Mus musculus: one gene and its partners. The protein of the gene in region 2 binds, or shares a complex with, the protein of the main gene of each other region. Links are inferred from orthologs where the notes say so. Each region holds a gene or a part of one and is shown on either strand. Other genes may lie near its edges.

What was found. The genes of interacting proteins can lie anywhere in the genome.
Region 1: the proteins of Xiap (region 2) and Casp3 are in contact, whole or in part, in a crystal structure (PDB 1I3O), measured with the Homo sapiens proteins. The link is inferred for Mus musculus from reciprocal best matches to the Homo sapiens genes XIAP and CASP3. Residues at the interface, in NP_001158.2 of Homo sapiens: Ala137, Leu140, Leu141, Gly144, Gln145, Val146, Val147, Asp148, Ile149, Ser150, Asp151, Thr152, Ile153, Tyr154, Asn226, Leu231, Gly232, Arg233, Asn234; in NP_001341706.1 of Homo sapiens: Tyr204, Trp206, Arg207, Asn208, Ser209, Lys210, Asp211, Trp214, Gln217, Lys242, Thr245, Glu246, Phe247, Glu248, Ser249, Phe250, Phe252, Thr255, Phe256.
Region 3: the proteins of Xiap (region 2) and Tab1 are in contact, whole or in part, in a crystal structure (PDB 2POP), measured with the Homo sapiens proteins. The link is inferred for Mus musculus from reciprocal best matches to the Homo sapiens genes XIAP and TAB1. Residues at the interface, in NP_001158.2 of Homo sapiens: Phe33, Ala34, Ser38, Gly39, Pro41, Ser43, Ala44, Ser45, Thr46, Arg49, Tyr75, Ser78, Ala79, Val80, Gly81, Arg84, Phe92, Ile93, Gly95, Tyr97, Leu98; in NP_006107.1 of Homo sapiens: Glu99, Ala100, Arg103, Thr201, Gln202, Leu203, Glu212, Asp213, Phe216, Arg217, Gln220, Arg241, Glu269, Glu271, Ile272, His273, Ala275, Gln276, Pro277.

What each region holds. Positions count from the first base shown.
Region 1 is NC_000074.6:46,614,851-46,622,621, reverse strand, and holds the start of Casp3 (caspase-3), read right to left. Parts: upstream 5,332-7,771; 5' UTR 5,121-5,331; intron 4,999-5,120; exon of another isoform or gene 4,844-4,998; intron 1-4,843. UniProt on the Homo sapiens protein: Thiol protease that acts as a major effector caspase involved in the execution phase of apoptosis. Following cleavage and activation by initiator caspases (CASP8, CASP9 and/or CASP10), mediates execution of apoptosis by catalyzing cleavage of many proteins.
Region 2 is NC_000086.7:42,092,839-42,100,006, reverse strand, and holds part of Xiap (E3 ubiquitin-protein ligase XIAP), read right to left. Parts: intron 5,641-7,168; 5' UTR 5,636-5,640; coding exon of another isoform or gene 5,609-5,635; coding exon 4,735-5,608; intron 3,395-4,734; coding exon 3,295-3,394; intron 1,204-3,294; coding exon 1,125-1,203; intron 171-1,124; coding exon 128-170; intron 1-127.
Region 3 is NC_000081.6:80,130,593-80,138,476, reverse strand, and holds the start of Tab1 (TGF-beta-activated kinase 1 and MAP3K7-binding protein 1), read right to left. Parts: upstream 5,332-7,884; 5' UTR 5,322-5,331; coding exon 5,289-5,321; intron 3,850-5,288; exon of another isoform or gene 1-3,849. UniProt on the Homo sapiens protein: Key adapter protein that plays an essential role in JNK and NF-kappa-B activation and proinflammatory cytokines production in response to stimulation with TLRs and cytokines.

The DNA of each region.
Region 1 (7,771 bases), on a different chromosome or scaffold from region 2:
ACTGTCCTTCGGAAGTAGAGATTTAAATGCTCCAAGCTGTGTTTCCCTTAAAGAAGCGAGAGGATGGACTTGGACTCTATTTATACAGTTGTTTGCCAGGTTTTCCTCAAAACTGTAGAGTAAGGCAGAACAGAATAAAAGTAGAGGAACGGGGAAGTTATTTCTAAAATACAGAATTAGTCAATGAGGCATAACACATCAACAATAGCTTGAAACAAGACAACTACCCATTATAAAATAGATGAAAATTTGCCTATCGTAGGGATTTAAAAACAAGATGATACATTAGTACAAACCAGTTTTAGAGGTGTGTGCGCTTGCCCGAGCATGGAGAGGCCAGAGGTAGCCTTCTGGCATCTTCCTCTAGTGCCTACTGCCTTATTTTTTGAGACAAAAGTCTCTCACTGAACCTGCCTAGAGCTCTCTCTTTTTGCTACACTAAGACAGCGAGTCCTGATCTTCGTATCTCTGGTGGGTTACAGCCACAATTCACATCCAGTTTTTATGTGGGTGCTACGGATCTGAACTTGGGTCTCCATGCTTACCTTCTGAGCCATCTCCCCAGACTAAGTTTTGGAGATTCATAATTGGAGAATTTGTCCCCTATCATCAGGCTGACCTCGTGGCTGACCTACAGAGACCTCATGAGGCCAGGCATCGGCCTGGTCTATGAGTTTTCTAGATCTCATGATACACGAGACTTCAAATTCTCCATTTCAGCCGGGCGGTGGTGGCGCACGCCTTTAATCCCAGCACTTGGGAGGCAGAGGCAGGCGGATTTCTGAGTTCGAGGCCAGCCTGGTCTACAAAGTGAGTTTCAGGACAGCCAGGGCTATACAGAGAAACCCTGTCTCGAAAAAACCAAACCAAAAAAAAAAAAAAAAAAAAATTAAAAAAAAAAAAAATTCTCCATTTCAGAATCATCTCCCTAGATATAAATACTCAAAAATTAGGAGTTAAGACTTAACAAAGTAGTAGCCAAAGTAACTATTGCTTTTCTTTCCAGCCCACATGTGCTAGACTGAGCGGCACACAGGTACTTTCAGTTGGGCTTCGCAATAACACCGGGATATAATGGTTCCTCTTTAAATCTTAATTAAATGGAGCTCAGAAGAGAGTTTATCACTTTTTAAGTAACAGAGCCATGACTCACGCTCCATTCTACAGTCTATAGACTGCTCAGCATCATATATCATATAGTTGCGACAACACTAAAGTTAATTTCAATGGAACAAAAATCTGTAAGCCCAGGTTCTCTGATTAAGATGAGATTTAAAACATACAGTATGGTAGAAGCTGATTATTCAAAACTGAAATAAAATACACAGATGTTCTTCAGTATTTTGTGGGTGACTGTCTCTAGAACCTTCCTCAGATAGCAAATTCAAGTTCAAATCCTTTGTATAAAATGGTGTATTATTTACATATAAGCTAAGCATCCCTACTACTTATTACTAATGATACCTGTTTTTACGTAGTGTTGTTCGGGGGATGATGAAAAGTCTATACATTTCAATACAGATTCAATTTCTAGTCTCTCACAATTCTATTTACAGTTGGTAAAGACCACAAATACAGGTTAATACTTACTGCAGTTATTGCAATGAAGAAAACAGTAATAATGATTATGATGTTTCTCATCCCACCAGGTAGTTTATTTATAAATGTATAATACCTGGTTAAGCATTTGTTAAAATATTTCCTACGTGTCTACCTACCTTCTTATTGATAGGAACATGAAGCCACTGTAGCCTGGCAGAATGATTTGAGAAACACCAGGATTCTATTTACTACCTCTCAGCGAGGACAAAGAATCAGGAGCACTTTCTTTTTTTTTTTTGGGGGGGGGGGTGTTCCGAGACAGGGTTTCTCTGTGTAGCCCTGGCTGTCCTGGAACTCACTTTGTAGACCAGGCTGGCCTCAAACTCAGAAATCCGCCTGCCTCTGCCTCCCAAGTGCTGGGATTAAAGGCGTGTGCCACCACCGCCTGGCTGCGAGCACTTTCATATTAAGTAAATGAAACAGAAAGAGCACTTGTTTCACAATCATCTGGTTAAGAAAAGATTTCTTAGTATAATCAGTGGTTGGCTTTCTTTGTTCTAAAATCTGTCCCATCTGGTCTCAGTTCCTTTGGGGGTTCATTGACCTGGCTATTGTCATTCAGCCTGATAAAGCCAACCTTCTAATGTTGAAAATATAGTGAGAGTGAAAAGAAAGGTGGAAAGGAAAAGAAAATATGGAGAACATATTGTCTCATAGGAACAAATAAGTCATCTCGTTTTCTTGTTTCTGGAATGGGACACACAACCAGGGAGGCAGACACCTGATGAAGCCCTGACATTGTGCCACAAGCTAGAAAAAAATGTGATGCTTACTATCTGCAAAGGGTCTGTCTTGTCCTCTCCCAAGCGAAACCCTGAAGAGGATAAAACTATACGCTCTTAGGGATGTGTAAGAATTACTGACCTGTTTGAAAACAATTTGTTGTTGTTGAAATAAAAGTATAGAGTGGAAGATCCTTGATGTCTTTTATAAAAATTACAGATAACTATGTAATCTACTGATTATCAACTGTATGAAGATGTTTCATTAAACCCTGAGCGTATGAAGTAGTGGAAGAGGCAGACTCTACCCCTATCCAGAGCTGTTATGTATGTTCACTGGCATTTAAAAACAGCAGCAAGGTAGACATTAAGCAGTCCATGTTCTGTTCTTACTAGATAATTTCATTGTACTTTAGCAGAATGAAGACCCTCCCCAGGTAATATTGAAGGCCAAAACAAAGAGACCAGAACAAGGACTATTATGTAGAATGTCACACATACTATTTCATCTGATCTTTACACAACCCTCTGAGCAATATAGATTATGCTTTATTTATGAAGAAGCTGGTAGGCCCCGGGCTCCTGGCCTCAGACAGTCAGATGATGATGATGGAATACCCTTTCCTCTCCAAACTTTTTTTAATCTGTTAAATGACTATATATAAAACAGTACTCAAGAATGTAAGAATTTCCACATCGTATTCTACCTCTATCACTGGGGTAGAACTTTAATATTATCTAACACGAAGATCAGAACTAATGCAATGTGTTTGAAGAAAAGACTGTGTTGTAACTTTAGAAAGCGCATGAAGTGAATGTGTTGCTAGGTTTGAAACCATAGAGTGGCCCTGGACCCGCTTCTATCAGATAAAGATACAGAATTCCTACTTAAAACAGCAGGAGGCAGAACCTTTCTGCAGGACCACAAAAGCAACCTGATTTAATTAGGTGCAGGATTTCACTTGTTACTTTGTAGCAGTTCGATGGCTACATTTCAATAAACTTCCACTCACTAAAAAAACACCTTCTCACTTTCCAAAAGCCTTAGTCTACTGGACAGCAAAACAAAGCCATTCTTTAAAGCTTCAACACCAGGTTGTCACAGGGTTCTACACTCCATACTTAGGGCTCCTGCCTGTGGCCACCATTAACATATCCAAAGTAACTTCCCAAAGGCTGGCCAAACCCCCAGCTTAGCATCTCCTCTGCTATTGTGTATACTCTTACTGTAACGATGGCCCCACATTTCCCACCCACCCCAATGGGTTGAGTAGTCACTTGTGGAAAAAAAAAAGCCAGTAAGGAAGGGAGCCAAGCTAAAGTTCGAGCCTACTGTTGTTTGCTCACAGTTCGGTAGGCAAACAATAAACAAGCAAAAGTAGAGGATATGACACGGCTGCTTTCAGGAAATGCCTGCCGCAAAGGGAGGAATGGGAAGATTCAGCTAGGAATTGCTAACTAAGGGAAACCTCCGTAGCAGCTCCTGTTCATAAGCTAATGTCTCAGGGGGAGAAAAGGTGAGCCAGTGGACTCAGAGGGCTGGAAAGAAAACCCGAAAAGGACACAGTATCCAATATTGCCTGGAGAGCTTCTTCATTCTGCTAAAAAGGGGGGGGGGCGGGGGGAGACAGCCAAGACCCAGGGTTTGGCTTCGCTAACCCGGTTTAGAGGATACGGTTTTACACTTAAGCCTTCAGGGTAAACATGAACATCTAGAAAACTGTTTTTGTTCGTGTCTTAAAGAGAGCACTGGAGAGGGGTCTTGGGCGGGAGACAGAGACCTGCAAGGAGGCTGCTTCAGTTCCCTGAGGTGGGCACAAGTCTGGCAGACACGTAGAAAGTCCACAAGACTCCGAAGAGGGGCCAGGTACAAATCTGTCAGACTCGTAGGTCTACAAGGCTCGGGGACTAACGGCGGAAGAAGTTGGGTCCACAAGAGGTGCCTGAGAAGGACGTTTCCTGGGTGACTCAACGGAGAATGAGGTAAAGACCCTGCTGTTCAAGTCGAACTTCACAGACTAATTAATAAGCGCGAAGAAGGGACAGTAACCGAGCATGGCTCAAGAGATGTCAATGCAAGCTCCTACAGTGACTTTGACCAACAAAGGAATGAGCTGGAGTATTCAAGGAGTAATGCTTAAAATCAGCTCTCCGCAAGAACCAAAAATCACAGTGCACTGGAGAAAACTAAAGGTGGAGATCAAATGCTCTTGTAACAGAGGGAGGCTGGGTCACTTAGAGCCGCCACAAGGTCAGCATCAGCCTAGCTTCCAGGCCCCAGGGCAGAACTTCCCCTATCCATCCTCTGCTACCGAGTCCACACCTCGGCCTGCAGATCCAGGATCCCGCCACCTCCCGCCACTCGGCTTCCAGGTTCACCCCCACACTATGGCCTCACCCCCTCCCGCCCCTGAAGCTCTGTACCCCGGGCGATCTCCAGATACCCCCCTGACTCCGCCTTTAAGCCTCAGCGCGGCCCGTGTGCCATGCTCGAGGGGTCTGAACCCGCTCCGGCTCACCCAGGTTTAGGGACACCGCACCGGCTCACCCAGGTTTAGGGACACCGGTTTGGCCTCCCGGGTCTGGGTTCTCAGCTCGGGATCGCGCTCCCGGCGCTGTTTCCAGCTTCTCTGCCTTCAGTGTTTGCCTGAGCAAGCCTGGAGGCAACACAAAGGATCCTCCGCCCAGATTGCCCGTTTCCCCCGCCTCCTCCAAGGAGCTGCAGACCCGCCAAAAGAGCGCCAGCTCCGGGGGACAACACAGGCCTTCGAAGGCGCGAGAGCAGCAGACACTCACCGTACCGTTCCAAGCTCCCCGCCGCAGGACACTGCGCTTTGATCCCACCAGCACCAACACTGCAACTGCAGCAGCAGCAGCAGCAACAGCAGACTACCGCCGGTCACGCCCCACGCCACGCCCCTTCTCTACCTCCCCGCCCCATCCCCCCTCACACACCCCCCAACACCTCATCTCGCACACGCCAGTCGCGATTGGTGGTTTCAGCCCCGACTGAGCCCCGTCTCGTAGCGCAGGCCCCGCCCACCCAGGGCAAGCCTAGGGCCCCGCCCCCTCCGGCTCCGCCCCCTCGCGCGGGTTTCAAGCTCTGGTTCCCGCCATCTCTGGCTCCGCCAGCTGCCGCCTCCGGCCGACTTGCGCCACTTGAGGTAAATTTTAGAGAGGTCTTTCGGCCACGCCTGATTCCGGGGGCGCCAAGATGGGCGTCTAGGGAGGCGCCTCTGCCAGTCAGAACTCTGGCAGGAGAAAATAGAGCTGTGCCCCGCACTCGGTAATTCTACTTCCTCTCAATTGCACCGAGGCCTTTCTTCACTTCCGTCCACCTCTTGCTCCCTCAGTGAGAGGTCCTGACTACCTTACTGAAATCTCTGACTGGTTTACGTCCTATTTCATTCAGACTCTGACTCTGGGAAGTGGGTTTTGTTTTGTTTTGTTTTTGCATAATATACGAAAACACGAGCACAGCGATCAGCATCGAATTTCAGGGGCCCAGAATATTCTTAAGGACAAATGTACTCCAGAGAGCAGCCTCTTGCCTTCACCGCCTTTGCTTCGTTGGATGTAAGGGACTGACGTACACGTAGCCACACAGATGTCTACCGTTCGTTGCGTGTGGAATTCAAGCTCTTGCATTTCCATAATACATTTTTTATTTTTTCCAGTTCCATCAAAGGCTTTAAAAGGATAAGTGGACGGGCAGTGGTGGTGCACGCCTTTAATCCCAGCACTTGGGAGGCAGAGGCAGGTAGATTTCTGAGTTCGAGGCCAGCCTGGTCTACAGAGTGAGTTCCAGGACAGCCAGGGCTACACAGAGAAACCCTGTCTTGGGGGGGAAAAAAAAAGAAAGAAAAAGATAAGTGGTTTGCTCTCATGAAGAGCCATAGTGGTTAAATGTAGATTCCAGAAACAAATTGATCTATCATTATCCCTCCCAAAGTAAGTTAGAATCAGCCATTTTCTGTTGGACTTTAGCAGTAGGATGCATTCAACCCTCGCAGTGCATCGTGGAGGCTGTAGTTCACAAGGAAGGGTCTAATTGAGAAACCCCTTGTGCCCGGACCCCTCCCTGTGCTAAACGTTCTTAACAAAGTGATACCTTAGATAAGGTATCCTCAGCAGTTTCCTGCCGTTAATGTTGACTTCATCTAGAGAAGTTCGTTAGAGCAAAACATCTGGAGGTGATAGTTTTCATCTAAGCCCTGTAATTTCTCCTCACTGTGGGGACTCAGAGGGACCTGAAGCCGCCCTGTAAATGGGGACCCAGAGGGACCTGAAGCCGTTCTGGGCCTCAAGAGAGAAAGAATTCATGAAAAGCAATGTGACTGCTTTCCAGGAGCTGGAGTAAGATGGCTTTCTGAAGTGATCTAAAAGCGGGGCGTGGTCACTCTCTTCCATTTGGCGAGAAAACTGAACTAGAAGTATAATAGGTAAACGTTTTAGGGCCTACATCTGCAAGAAGACTTAGCCTTCATAAGCTAAATTACTATAGCAATTACATGATAAGTTAATCATTTGTAAAAATGGTGTGAAGGTCATTTATCTGGTAGAGTTTTGCTCTTTGGGGTGGGAGACCAGGGAGGAGGAAAAGAACCAACACCTGAAACAGTATACTGTTATAGGGTTTCTTATCCCTCCTACTAGTTTTAGGGATATTTAAAAAATGACTTCTGGGGCTGGAGAGATGGCTCAGCAGTTAAGAACACTGACTGTTCTTCCAGAGGTCCTGAGTTCAATTCCCAGCAACCACATGGTGGCTCACAACCATCTGTAAAGGGACCCAGTGTCCTCTTCTGGTGTCTCTGAAGAGAGGGACAGTATGCTTGCATACATAAAATAAATAAATAAATCTTAAAAAAAAATACACCTTCTGATTCTAGGCAGTAAATAAGTGGGACAGAAGAAATTCAGTCTTTTATATTTAATTTCTTAAGTTGTTACACATTCTAGAAAGTAAGCTTATATAGTAATATGTTTGTAAGTAAACCTTAATAGCGTACTTTAAGATGACTACTTAAAGATGAATACTTAAGTCGTAGATATTGTATAGAGGGATTATAGAGTGCATTTAAAAGGTGGTGAAGGATTGGTTGGGTAGTTAAGAAAGAGCTCTTGCTCTTCCAACTCAGGTGGCTCATGCCACTTGTAACTCTAGCTCTAGAGGACCCAGCACCCTCTTCTGACTTTCAAGAACACAATCCACATTTACACAAATACACGCAGATAAATAAAGTATAACAAGCGTTCATAAATGATAGCATATTAAGAAGATGTTGGGATAATATAATAATAATAATATTAAGAGCTTGGGAGATGGCTCAGTTGGTAAAGTACTGTCTGGATAACCATGAAAACCTGAGCTTGCATCCCCAGCACCCATGTAAAACACCTGGTGTTATGGGAAGGTAGAGACCATGGGATCCCTGGAGCTTGCT
Region 2 (7,168 bases):
ACAAAACTATCTGGAATAAAATTATAAGCACTTCATTAAATTCTTAAATTTATAGCAGCCTCATTAAACATACTATAATAAATTGGCCACAAAACTAAACAGATTTATTTTTAATAGGCATATTTACCGATTTTTTTAGTTAGCGATGGTGTTTTTTCAGCAGTTCTTCCCTAAAATAGAAATATGAATGGTAAGAATTCACTTTAGCAGAAAGCAATTATCTCAATTTGAAAAGTTAATAAACTTAAAACAAATTGGCTTTATTCTAATTTAAAAACCCTGACTATTCATAAGAGCATAACCTAACGGAATGGAAGGAAGGTAAGACTATCTATCTACTCATCACCCCTTTATAAACAAGAAGCTGAGGGCCAAAGAGATCCAACGATCCCCTGGAGAACAAACCAATACAAATGCAGCTAAAAGCTAAGGGTAGAACCGTCATGTCCACTCTAGACTCCCACTGCAGTCCAAAGTTCTTCTCAGTATACTAATGCTCTGACGGCCACTGTTCTGTGTCAATTCAGACACAGTTGTTCATCTTGATTGAACCCAGGGGCTTGTTTATGCTAGCCAGAAAAGGTAAAACCCACGTATATCTCTGTCCTTATTTTTGCAATCTGAAGTATTATCTGCTAAAAGGTTACTAAAGACACACACACACACACACACACACACACACACACACCATAGGAAGACTAACAGTCAATGAACTTGGACCATTGGAGTCTCCTAGAGACTGAATCACCAGCCAAAGAGCAAGCATGGGCTGGACCTACACATGCCCCCTGCACATATATAGTAGATGTACAGCTTGGTCTATGTGGGTCCCCCAACAACTGAAGTGGGGGGGGCTGTTCCTAAACCTATTGCCTGCCTGTGGATCCTGTTCCTCCAACTGAGCCTCCTTGTCTGGCCTCAGCAGGAGAGGATGTACCTAATGCTGCAGTGACTTGATATGGCAGGGTGGGATGGGGAGAGAATGAGGGAAGAAGTTGTGTAAGGGAGAAACTGGGAAATGGGGAGTGGATATTGGGATGTAAAGTGAATAAATAAATTAATGAAAACAAAAGAAAAACAAATAATATAGAATTTGAAAATATATTGCACAATAAGCTACTCACCAAAGATTCCTCAAGTGAATGGGTTAAATGAATATTATTTATATATTCTTGCCCCTTCTCATCCAATAGGTATTTGCACCTAAAAGATTAAAGAAAATTAAATTAAACTCTACTAGCTGATAAATTAGTGAAGTACTAGTAAAGGCAGTCTCCAGCATTCAATTCCATTAACTATCTTGGGGCCAGAGAGAAGGCACTTTCTGACAAGTTCAATCTCAGGAGCTCACAGAGGAGAACAAACCCCTCCAGGCTGTACAGACCGCCAACTGTGCATTATGCGATGTACATCCCCCACCCATGCAATGGACAAACAAGTAAAACCAACCTTTTCATTCTTGTCTTTTTTGTATGTTACTGGGGATTAAACTAAGAGCCATGAGCACACTAAGCAGGCACTCCATCACTTAACTATAACATCAGTTCCCATTAGAGGCCATTCTGAAGCTGGCCTCAAATTTGCTATGTAGCCAAACATGACCTTGGACTTCTAAACCTCCTGCCTACATATCCCAAATGCTAGGATTATAAGCAGGAATAACCATAAATCACCCCAGTCTTTTAAAAACAGCTTTTTATTTGTGATAGGGTCTTTCTAAGAAGTCCAAGGCTGGCCTTGAATGTGTAGCCTAGACAGGCCCTGAAATTCCCATTCTCCTATCTCAGCAGACTCCTAAGCAGCTGATGTTAAATGCCTCAGCTTCATTCACTGTTTCTGAGGAGCCACAAAGTACTGCTATACAACTCCTTATCCAGCTATAATTTCAAGACTATTACTCATGCTAATAATGTCAATTTGAGAACTTCCAATTTATAAGTAAGAGTTACTGAATTAGGAGCCAAGTATGGTGACATCTGACTATAATCTCAGCACTTGGGAGGCTGAGACAGGAAAACTGATATGAAAACCTGGCTACTCTGCTATAGTCTGTGCCAAAAAAGAAAATGAAAAAACAGTCAAAAAAGCTATTAGCCAGGCATGGTGGCAAAACCTGAATTATCCGCACTTAGAAGATTAACCAAGAACAGAAGTTTAGTGCCATCTTTGGCTACATAGTGAATTCTTGCCAACCTGAGGTACAAGAGATACTATCCCAAAAAAGACAAGACACCTCTATAATACTCGAGAGGCAGAAGCTGGAGGGCTGCCACGAGTTTGAAGGCCAGCCCCATCTACATAGGAATTTGCAGGCTAGTTAAGGCTACATAACAAGACCGTATCTCAAACAAACAAAACTAAAACCAGGCAAAAGAAGCTATTAAATCAGTACCCTAACACTGAGTTAGTACTATTTATTTATTTGGTTTTTCTGATATAGGGTTTCTCTGTATAGCCTTGGCTGTCCTGGAACTCCACAGACTAGGCTGGCCTCAAACTCAAAAGAGATCCACCTGCTTCTGCCTCCTGAGTGCTGGGATTAAAGCCATTTGTCACCAACACCACCAGGCCATACTGACAATTTTTTTTAAAGGTTCAAAATGGTTAATCTTTTAAAACCAGTACTGAAAACTTAAAAACCTTAGTTTTTATTTTCTCATTTATCTTGAATGTTGTTTTAAAAAGATTCTTTTCAAATGATTGTTCTAATGTTTGAAGTTGCATTATTTTATATATTAGAAGCTCACATAACTTATACACCTGAGTATTTTTGAGGCAAGATGACAAAGAGTCTGAGACAAGAGGGTTTCGAGATGGAGGCCAGCCTGGAAGGCATGGGCAATTTCAGGTCTACCTGAGCTAATATGAGACCTTGCCTCGAATTAAAAAACAAACAAACAATACTATACATTATGACCATTCTTCGGGACTTCTCATGGCACTATGGGCTCATGCCAATCTCCAAAGAGCCTACTTCTAAATAAAAAGTATGTATTTTTGTATACTAAATAAAAGAATATACATTTTAATAATTTGGTTTTAGAAATGGAATCATCTAAGTATCATATGACATATAAACAGTGAATGTTTTGGTTACCTAAAGTCTTAGGTGTTTTTTTTTTTTTTTTTTTTTTTTTTGCCTACAAAGTAGGTGACCCCATTTCTGTAAACTTGGTGTGAATTTCAAGCCATAGTGAAGGCAAAAATAGTTGAGGTGAAAACTAATTCAAATATTTCCACTGCACAATGTCCAACTTTTCTGTTACTGAATGAACAATTAAGGATCTTACTTACCCTGGGTACCACTTCGCATGCTGTTCCCAAGGGTCTTCACTTGGCTTCCAATCCGTGAGCCCTCCTCCACAGTGAAAGCACTTCACTTTATCGCCTTCACCTAACAAAACATGCAAGGAAAACTGTGCCTTTCTGTGCAAGTCTAAGTTTTCAGAAAATGCCCGTTTTAACATCTAAGTTACATAAAACCTCATGCTTTAAAAGACAACATTCACATTCCATCTAGATATGATCTTTGTCATTTGAAGGAAAATACATACTAAGTTCATCATCTCAATATAATGTGCTTAGTAGACTACAATGAAAATAAAATCACAGTATTTCTGTTAGAAACTATAATTGTTACATTCTTCCTAGTGTATGTCAGTTGGACCACCACTATTAAACTTTAGTTCATCAAACTGAAATCTGTTTAAGTTATATTCCAAATGTTAACAATAATACACTTCGGCATAAATTATTTACAAGCATAAATCTTTAAGGACAGAGCTCTCTGACATGAAACAGATCTTTATGATTACTAATGTTATGGGCTGGAGAGATGGCTCAGAGGTTAAGAGCACTAACTGCTTTTCCAGAGGTCCTGAGTTCAAGTCCCAGCAACCACATGGTGGCTCACAACCACCTGTAATTGGATCCAATGTTCTCTTCTGGTGTGTCTGAAGAGTGCAACAGTATACTCATATCCAGTAAATAAACAAATAAATAAATAAATCCAAAAAAAGATCACTATGTTATATAAGTGAAATAATTTATATTTGAATTTGGCATTATTTTCCTAAAATAAATGAGTCAGGCATGCAGATTAAAATAGTCCTAGAAGCCATAACACTGGCAGCTTTTCTTGGAACATGCATAGGCATTGTTTGAAAAGTACTCTGAAACAGTTCAGGCAGCTTCCAAAGATGTGGTGTACACTTTAAAGGCAGACGTTAATTTTTATTTGGTTGGCTTTTTGAGAGATGGCATCACGATGTAGCCCAAACTGCCCTCAAACTCATGCTCATTATTCTACCTCGGCTGCTAAGATTGCTGGAATTTCAGGTATGTGGCACCATGCTAAGCTTGATGTCGATTTACCAAGAATCAACCAAATTCTCTAAGGTTAACTATTTCTATGGAATTGTGGTGAAGCTTAGAGAAAATCCATGTAGTAAATATTTTGAGCATACAGAGTAGACATTTAATAAATGGCAGACGGTATTTATTACTAATAGATCCACTATCTGTCAGAAATTGATACTATCTTTTCTCTCAACTCTAACCTCCCCCAGCCAAGAATTACTTGAACACAGATCTGACTCATAAAAGTATAGCCTTTTAACATAAATTCAGTAGTTACATTAAAGATGTAACATGAATCCAGAGAATGAGCAAACTAAAGACTAAAAGAGCAGGAGCTCTGTGACATTTGGAAAGTAATTGTCTGGTGAAGTTTACCTAAAGCATAAAATCCAGCTCTTGCAAGCTGCTCCTTGTTAACTGAGGATGTCCATGTTCCAAAAGTAACGATCCGTGCTTCATATTCTGCCATGGCTGGATTTCTTGGAGAGTTTGTTGAATTTGGGAAATTCCTATCAGAACTCACACCAGATTCACTTCGAACATTAACGTTCCGGCCCAAAACAAAAAAGCAATTGGGAAAGTGTCTCCTGTGTTCTGACCAGGCACGATCACAGGGTTCCCAATTTTTCAGTTTTCCCCCACAACAAAAGCATTGCACTTGATCATCAGCCCCTGTGTAGTAGAGGCCAGCACTAGCTAACTCTCTGGGGGTTAAATGAGCATAGTCCGGCCAGTTCTGAAATGACTTCAATCTGGCTTCTTCACTACACATGGCAGGGTTCCTCGGGTATATGGTGTCTGAAATATCTACAACCTGTCCAGTTCTCAAGAGATAATCAGCATGAGTCTCAGGTGGCCTGTCAGGGGCAAAAGGATTTCTATTTCCCACACAGTTTTCAGATTTGTACTGGCCATTTTGGATACCAGGATTTGTAGACTGTGCAGCACCATTTTCAAAATAAAAACCATTGATAAATCTGCAATTTGGGGATATTCTCCTGTGTCTTCCAACAGCTGAGTCTCCATACTGCCATCTATCTATTGCCGCATGACAACTGAAACATTGCACGGTGTCTCCTTCACCGGTATAAAGAAACCCAGCTCGCGCCAATGTTGATGCTGAAACAGGACTACTACTTGGGAAGTTAGCAAATGTTTTTAATCTATTAAACTCTTCTACAAATTCTTCATCCTTATTGGTGTCTGCAAGTACAAAAGTTCTAGTTCCTTCAAAACTGTTAAAAGTCATCTTCTCTGGAAAATAGGACTTGTCCACCTTTTCTAGAAAGAGAACATTGCATTAGGAACTTCAAAACACAAAGCATAAGGACTATTTCTGATACTAAGCACTAATATATTATCCAGTGATGACATAAAAATAATGGCACAATAACTAAGACACATTTTAATTCTAAACAGTAGAGTCGTACATTACCAAACCACTTGAGTTTTAAAGTCTGCGCTTTTGTTTGTTCTCCTTTTTTAGTGTTTGGGCTTCACATAATGCCAAACACATGCTCTAACAGACCTACACCCCCAGCCTGTTTCTCTCTCACTTAAATAAGTACTAGGGATCCATCATAGGGCCTTTTGCATTTTAGGAAAGTGCTCTAGCAACGAGCCTCAACCTCAGTCCCATTTTGTCTTTTGATGGAAAATAGTATATAAACAAACAGAGCAGAATTACTGATCTTAAGTATTCATTTTATATAAATATGGAAACTATGACAGAAAAATTATAAATATTAAACATGTGAAGTCATTAATTAGGAAAAACATGAAAGCAGCATAAAATATGCAGATTATTAAAGACTATGCATAATTGTTATAATGAATCATTACATATTCAAGGCAAAGTTCAATTTTTACTATTTAAAAACAGATGAATGTTTAGAATGTTAATGCATCAATTTAAAAAATATTTTTACTTCCCTGCTTAGCAAAACAAAGGTGCTCTAGTAGATGCCATGCTCAAGAGTATATAGGAAGCACAAATGAAACTTGATGCATTAAGAAAAAGACACACACACAAAGTTAGGTGGGTGGATCTGGGAGAAGCTGGGAAGGTAGGTACTATGATCAAAATGCAATGTACAAAATTCTCAAAGGACTAAAAAAATTATTAAACAAAAAGGTAAGTATTCACAGTATTGGTTTCAGCATGATAAGGATATCAAATGTTTCTCATTTTCATGTGTTGAGTCTTCTTTTGATGGAAGTGGACCATTCCTTATTTTATGTGTGTATACATTATACATACAACACATAGAGGCAAGAAACATAGACACAAACACACCTTACACATCCAAAACTGCCAGGCAGAGAATGCCTTAAGAAACATTCTAAATATTTACAGATATTAAGTGAAATTACTTTTGCTATCAACTTCTGTTGGTCAAGGAACAATCTGTTTGAAAGAAAGAGAATTTAGCAGCCTCATTAGAGCTGCCAAATTACAACTGTGTAATGTTTAACCCAAATAACATATCAAAAGGAGTCAGCTGTGTTCTGGGAAGAGTGGCAAGATAGTTTGTCCTCCTCCAACAGGTCTGAAAGTGCAAAATGACGCTGCTAATAAATGTCCAAAACAGCAGCATAAATCATGGTCGCCTTAGGCAAAGCAGAGGAGCGTGTGGTCACCCTAGCTACAGAAAACACTGCTTCTCCACAATCTTCCACATTGCCATAATGTCCTTAGGATGTTTGCTAAATGCAAAATAAGCAAATGGCTAAAACTCAAATAATTTCAGAGTAAAAATGTAAGATTCTGATGTAAAAATCAATGCACTGGGTATAGCCTCAAAGGAGG
Region 3 (7,884 bases), on a different chromosome or scaffold from region 2:
CGGCTCCAAATGCCAGGCCAAGAGCTCAGGGGGCGCTAGCCCTGGAGAAGCTGAAAAGGGGGTGTTTCACACTCCAAGTCTCAGCACAGAGCAACACACACACACACACACACACACACACACACACACGCACACACACACAGTGAGCACAGGAACCAAGATTCCTCCCTCATTCAAAAGAACAGTTCCTAAAATTCAACAGAAAGTGTGCCGAGTGGCCACATCAAAGGCCCTAATTCCTGCCGGTCTTGTCTTGAGAGGGAGCCCCCTACAGTCCTGCTGTGCTCTGAAAACTCATAGTGACCCTTGTGTGTGTGGCCTCAGAGGCTTCACAAACACCTGTGCATGTTTGTTTAAGAATGAGTTCCTCACATTCTCATGGACTCTTATCGAAATCAAGGTCTGCAGTAATAGTTCCCACACGACTCATCTCAAAACCCCCGGCAGACAAGTGGACAAAGCCCTGTTCCCTGTTCAGGCCACAGCTTGAATATCAAATTATGGCATGAAAAGGCTGAGTGTTTCTGTGGTGAAAGCAATCCATTGCCACAGAGACCAAAAAGAAGCTTGGGGGGGGGGGGGGCAATGGCCCTGGGAAGATGGCTTAGGGTGAGGGACAGCAGTTCCTTCTCTCCAATAAACCTCTTGTATGACCCACTTCTCTGAGGCCAACTCACTCCAGGCTCCCACTGCCTTCCAGAGCTCCATCAAATGCTCTATGCTGCTGTCAGACTCCATGATGGACGCTCACAAGGCTCCTAAGAACTGCGGGATGGTCTCTGCAGACCAGACCAGCAGCTGGACCCCCATCCCAGGCTGGTGAGTAGCTAGTACACCGCTCAGGTATTGACACATGTACGTTGTTCTTTCTTTCCTTCCTTTTCCCCCTATTGCTGGGGATGGAACCTGAGGACTTGTGCACACTCTTCCATGAGCCTTATCACCAGCCCTGGATACACACAGTGTGTGTGTGTGTGTATCCTGAATATATGTTTTTTTCCAGTGGGCACATTTGCTTAGAGACAAGGCCTCATATAGTCAAATTCAAGCCCCTCACCCTCTTGCCCAGCTTCCCAAGTCCCAGGATTACAAGACTGTCCTTACGCTCTGTTTTATGAGGTGCTGGGAATCAAACACAGGTCTTCATGCACATTAGGCACACGACCACCTGAGCGCAGCCCTGCGCTTGTTTAAGGTGCACAGGGGAAAAAGCATAGGCCGCAGCATGTGATCGCATAAATATCATTCCTCAGGACAAACTTCAGTCTAAACACGACTTCAGGGTGACAACATCCTTTGCTTGCTTAAAACTTGGGTTTTTTTTATATTTTGGGGGATATCATCTTACTGTGTTGCCAAGGTTGGCCACAGATGCCTGGACTCAAGTCTAATTCAGCCTCCTGAGGAGCAGGGATTACAGTCATAGTAACAAACCAAATGGATTTTGCTTTTGTTTGAGACAAAGTTTCTCTGTGTAGTTCTATCTGTTCTGGTTTTTACTCTGTAGAACAGGCTGGCCTTGAACTCTCAAAGATCTGCCTGATTCATTAACTATTATTAAATTACACAGAGTCTGTACTTGCTGTTTAGCATCTGTCAGGGCGTGTCGTCGTCATCCCCCACCACCACCCCTGCTCCAGCACAGTGCCTACCACAGGAGGAACACTCAAGGGTCACTGCAAGGCACTGGCTCACTCACAGCAGCACTGAAGACAGAAGTCTGCTGTTGAGGTGTAGAGGGCAACAGGTCCCTGTGCACACTGATAAGCATGAGGGAAACCAGGAATATTGAACACACAGGGTTGTCTCTTCAACAGAAGGCTGCATACCTGCTGTTGCCAGAGAGCTGGGGATGGATACTGTTCACGGCCTGGTGACCTGTGCAGACTGTAGGGCCAGACCACAGCTGCATTCCCCATACTACTGTGTTCATCCCAGACTCCTCCCTAGACCTTCATCCTGAGCACTATTTCTCAGTCACTAGAACTCATCCTTAAGGATTTTGCAAGAGTTTCGAGGCAGCCCCGCCTTAAGCATTACTGTGATAACTGTCACGGAGAGCTTCTTTCCAAAGCTCTACTGTGCTTACACATGGCTAAAGTAAACTGCTCTGAATCGGCTTCTAGAAGTTTGACCCCACACCAGCTACCGATTCCTGTTGAACCAGATCTCCTCCTCGCCTCATGTGGACACTCAGATCCTTACTCTGTGGTAAGGATCTCCTGGTATTCGCAGAGCCCCCACAGCTGACTGTTACCATCTAGAATTGGAAACACTGTGGCAGTCCATTTATAGTATCGGTTCTCCTGGGAGGCCTTCTGGACCGGGGAAACTATGGGTAAATCTCTGTGAGACTCACAGGCTTTTTTCAGGCTGCTATGGCTGGGGTCTTCTAAACCTGCGGGTGAAGACCTTTTTGGAGGTCACAGGAGTTCTATATCAGATATCCTACATGTTAGATAGCTACATTATGATTCATAACAAGTAGCAAAATTAGTTATAAAGTAGCAATGAGATAATTTTGTGGTTGGGAGTCACAACATGAAGAACTGTTTTAAAGAGTTACATTAAGAAGGCTGAGAACCACCATTCTAAGATTTTCTTTAAAACCACTTTTCTTAGCTGAATGTAGTGGTGTATGCTGCCCCAGCATTCGGAAACAGATCTCCAAGTTCAAGGCCATATAGTGAGCTGGAGGTCAGCCACTGATACATAGTGAGACTTTGTCTCAAGACAATCAAACAAACTCAGCACTAGAGAGATGACTTAGTAGCCTGGAACATTGACTTTTGTTCCAGGAGACCCAAGTTCAGTTGTCAGAACCTTACGACTGGAACCTCCTTCTGCCCTCCACAGGCACCAGGCATGTACCCAGAACACTTACATGCAGGCAAAATGGAATTTTAAAAAATTAAAATTAAAAACAAACCAACTACCCAGGAAGCCCTCAAATCCAAAATCCCCAAAACCAAACCCTTTTAAAGCACACTGACTAGAGATAATAGGTAAAAATCCCTCAGAAGGCCTTTTCTTCCAGAAACTCTACCAAACTGCCCAAGGATGATGCCCCTTCAAGACCCACATGAGCCCATTACCAGCCTATCCCACAACTGTTCACTACCTGTCAACACACTATTTCTATCTGACACATGGATTTTCAGACCCCTCACATACAAATTTAGTTAAATACATTGTATTCCCCTTGGGTGTCCCTCCTGTCTTGTAAAAAACTGAATTTAAAAAAAAAAAAAAAAAAACCTAAAAAGGAAAGGCCATGACTGCTCCTACGTGTGGGTATGGTAGAGGAGAAAAGTTCTTACTGTAGGAAAATGGGAGAGCAGAGGCAGAGACATCTAAGAGAGTCCAGAGTCGAACCCTAAGCCATGGGGGAGAGGGAGGGAAGGGAAGGGGAAAGCAAGGGAATGGGGTACAGCAGCCAAAAAGACAAAGGTACAAAAGAGGTGGGTCACCAAAATTGTTCAGTTCTATAGGAAGAGCAGCCCGAGGGATGCTGGGAGAGCCTGACAACCAGGCTCACTTTGATGTGTTGAGACCTCAGCTATTTTTCTGGGTTTGAGACTTAACACCCCTGAATCCCCTGCAGTTCTCTGCGGCCTGTCCAGGGTTCCCTATGGAAGTCCACGCTGACTATGCCTTAGCCACGGTGCTGGGGCTCACGCTCCTCTTCCCCTGCTGCCCTTTCATCTTCCCAAGAGGCCCAGACTAGCAGCTTTCAAGGTCATTTGCAGAACACAGATATTGGAGCTGCTCTCACCAGACACAGGACGAAGGACAGGTCAGCAAGCCCTGCACCCTGCCCGGCTGGGACACCGGGATTCCTCTCAGTAGGTATGTCCTTTCATCCTGAGGATGGAAGGGGCCTTACACAGTTATCTTTTCCTGTTCCTTCCCTAGCATCAAGACACTACGGGTTAAAGCCGGCCCTCCCTCCCCCTTTTTAAAGTCCGCCAGCATACACAGAGAACACATTCTCTGTGTGCTGGGAAAAGCCTACACTCTGCCCTAACTGGTGTTCTTTGGGTCCCATCACAAGGAAGAGACAGAAGATACTTGACCCAGTCGACCTTTCTCTTGTTAGCAAGCCAACTCAGTCGGCATCAGTCACTATTTTTTTCCCAGCCCCTCTTTCTCTCAAGGTCACAATCATATCAGTGTTCCCCAGACGCTTTCTACAATGGGGACATTTATACAAGGGCCTTGCCCTCTGGGACCTTACAAAACAGAGAGCCAGACCTCTTTACTCCCAGGGTTTTACAAAAGGCCCGAGCAGGCACACAATAGTGAAGGGAAAGCCATCTCTCTCTTCCCCCACGTCTCCCTCTGGCTTCAGATCCTCTAGGCCAGGCAAGCTACTTCCCCCCACCCTTGAAAAGCCAAGACCTAGTTCCTGACCAATTTCCTCATTCTGTGACAGACACTGACCAAGCACCTAGCATGCAAGGGTGGTAGGGTGGTGAAGTCAACATGCTAAGAGGCGCTGGTCTTCAAGGAAGCAGACATCCAGAGGCAACTCCTACAGAGTGCCACGGTAAGGAAGGCCAAGGGATCCCCGCCCTGTCCTGGCAGATCCAAACAGTACTCTGAGCTAACATACATACATGTGTAACTGCACATATGTGAGAAAGATGCAGGGACGGGTAGACTACATCAAACCGTGGAGGTCCAGATGACCAGGTCGGGGTGCCTGGAGCCAACCTTCAACGGGACCCGGTGAACTGGGAGGCAGAAGTAAAACCCTACGCCCTCACTTGAGGAGCCTAAACCTTAGGGGTGTTTCTGGAACCAGACTATTTTAATCCTGCCTCTGCCTCTGCCGCTCACCAGCTGCCTGACCTCGGTTTCCTCGTCTGTAAAAACTTTTAGTCGCTAACTATTCTCCGGTGCTGCTGGCGAAGCTTATAAACGCGAGGCGGTCCACACAATGCCAGAGATACAGCACGCCTTACACAAGCGGGGGGCTATTTATTATTAGTCGTGTCCACGCTCCGGATGGCCCGCTCGGCGGCGCCACGTCCCCTTCCGGCTCGAGGACGCTCCCACTCCGCAGGACCCCGGCGCCCTTGACCCCCTAGAGGCCCCAGCCTGCGACGCGCACGCGCAGAACAGGCGCGGCGCCAGCCGGCTGTGGGTCTCGCGCGCTGCAAGCCCCCAAAGGCCTCTGGGGCGAGAGGGCCATGCTCTGCCATCTAAAGACAACAGTTCCTGCACCCGAGGACACACCCGAGCTCCCAACCCTCCCAGCCCGGAGAGCGGGTCGGTTTCCTCACACTCTGGAGCAGGCTCCTCCTCTGCGCCGCCATCTTGGAGGACCCCGCGGCGCGCCAGGCTCTCGGAGTGGCGGGATGAGGGGCTAGAGCGGCTCGGGCTGCCGCGGAGCTTATCCACAGCGCCCCCGGCGGAGCGGAGGAGGCGCAGCAGAGGCGCCTTGAGCAAGCGCGGCTCTTGCCCCCACCCCACCCCCAACCCCATCAGCCTACTTTCTTCGACTTTCTTGTTTCCTGGGGTCTTTATGGGTGTGCTTTCTCCCGGATTTTTTTTTCACCCCGATGGAGATCCTGAGATCCTATTTAAAGCGGCTTAGCGAGGAGGGAGCAAGAGAGAACGAATGATTCAGTTTACAAGAGTAGTGGGTGACTGACTGCCTGATCTTATAATGGAGGCCACCCCAATGCCAAACTAGCTGAAGTTAGATTTGGAGAAGACTGCAATTCCGAGTAGTTGTAAATTCTCAGAAGTTAAATTTATGGACGGTAACATGGGAGTGTAGTGTTAGCTGGCAATGTAATTGCAGGCCACTTGGCGTGACTGGCCAGTGCCCAAAGGAAGAGTCTGTTTGTTCTAGAAGCACGGTGCGGAAGCTCGATTTGGAGAGTCACAACTGTAATCCCAGAGTTTAGGAGACTGAGGCAGGGGGATTATAAATTTGAGTCCTGTAATCCCATCCCTTAAGAAGAGACAGGAGGAGCCGAGCGTGGTGACACACGCCTTTAATCCCAGCACTTGGGAGGCAGAGGCAGGCGGATTTCTGGTCTACAGAGTGAGTTCCAGGACAGCCAGGGCTATACAGAGAAACCCTGTCTTGAAAAAAAAAAACAAAAACAACAACAAGAAGAGACAGGAGGACCAGAAGTTTGATACCAGCATGGACTACTATATGACACCCTGTTTCATTAAATGAATAAATAATCCAGTATCAATTTTTTTAAAAGATTTGTGTATTTATGTATGAGTACACTATAACTGTCTTCACACACCAGATCCCATAGGTCCCATTAGAAACGGTTGTGAGGCACCATGTGGCTGTTGGGATTTGAACTCGGGACTTCTGGAAGAGCAGTCAGTGCTCTTAGCCGATGAGCCATCTCTCCAGCCCCCCAGTATCAAGCATTTTATTAAAGCAACAGGAAATGGCCTAAGACAGTGCTGATGGGCCAGTGTGGTGGCACATGCCTTTAATCCCAGCACTTAGGAGTCAGAGGCAGGCGAATTTCTGAGTTCGGGGCTAGCCTGGTCTACAGAGTGAATTCCAGGACAGCCAGGGCAACACAGAGAAACCCTGTCTCGAGAAAACAACAACAATAAAAAGACAGTGCTGATGGGAAGAAGTGTGTCAAAGATCCCTGCAGATTTTTTTTTGCAGGCTCAGGTAGGTTTATGGAGCAAGAGAAAGGTGTGAGTTCCACGTTAGCATGCTGAGTTTGGTGTGGTTCTGAGATGAGACGTTGTCAAGTCAGTAGGGGGGCTAGAGCTCAGAACACAAGCTGAGCATGCAAAGACATCACAGATGGAGCAGCTGAAGGGGCGGGATGGGGGGAGTGGACAGGGTCCAAGGGAGACGGTGCAAGGACACGAGCAACAGCGGGAGGCCTTTTGGAAAGATTTGATTGGCACATAACTGGATTCTATTTAGAGGCTCTGAGCTGAGGCTCTTCAGGTGGAAGACATATCCCTCATGGGGTGTGTGAGCAGAAGACAGGTTGGGAGGAGACACAGACACCTGAAGAGTAGAGGTTCTACAGAGGAATAGAAGACTGAAAGGGATCACAGGATTGGACGGTTTTTGTTTTCTTTCTTTTTGTTTCGATTTTATTTTGTTTTTTGAGACAGTGTTTCTCTGTGGAGCCCTGGCTGTCTTGGAACTCACTCTGTAGACCAGGCTGGCTTCTAATTGAGAGATCCACCTGCCTCTGCCTATCCAGTGCTGGGATTAAAAGTGTGCACTACTACACTCAGCTTTTCTGTTCGCTAGTTTGTTTTGATCCTGGGTTTTCTTACAGTTTAGCAAATGCTTGCGACATCAAATTGGTTTAAGGTCCCAGCAGAAGGGAATCAGTATGTTGGCAAATGAGGAAACTGAGGTATGCCAGTCTCATGGACCCCATGTGACTAAGTAGGGAGTGGGACTAAGCTTGGGGCTCACTAGCTCCCCTCAACTTTCTCTTCACATCTCTAAAATGGGTCCTCTTTTCCCCCAGGACAAACAGATGTGTCACCCTGGGGTTGTTTTTGATCAGTTCAAGAAGCACTTCTGCTGCAACTGTTGGTCCTGATAATCATCTAAACTGCCTGCGCTGGCTCAGGGCCTTATCACGAGTGTCCAGACGGGCAAGGCAGCCTTCGCTTCCATACATTTTCTGGAACATCCAATGACTGCACCATGACCTCCCTAACCCCAATCGCATACAAAGCAGGAAGACTTGCAGCAAGTCTGGCCCCTGAGAGCTGAGGTGGGTTTGGCAGGAAGGCTTGGCAGCCCCTCAGGTCAGAAGTCTACACCTAGGGCCTCTGTGCTCCTGAACCCGTTGGCCACCCTCAGATTCCAGTCAATCCCTGACCTGATATTTGCTGCTACTGCAGCCAACG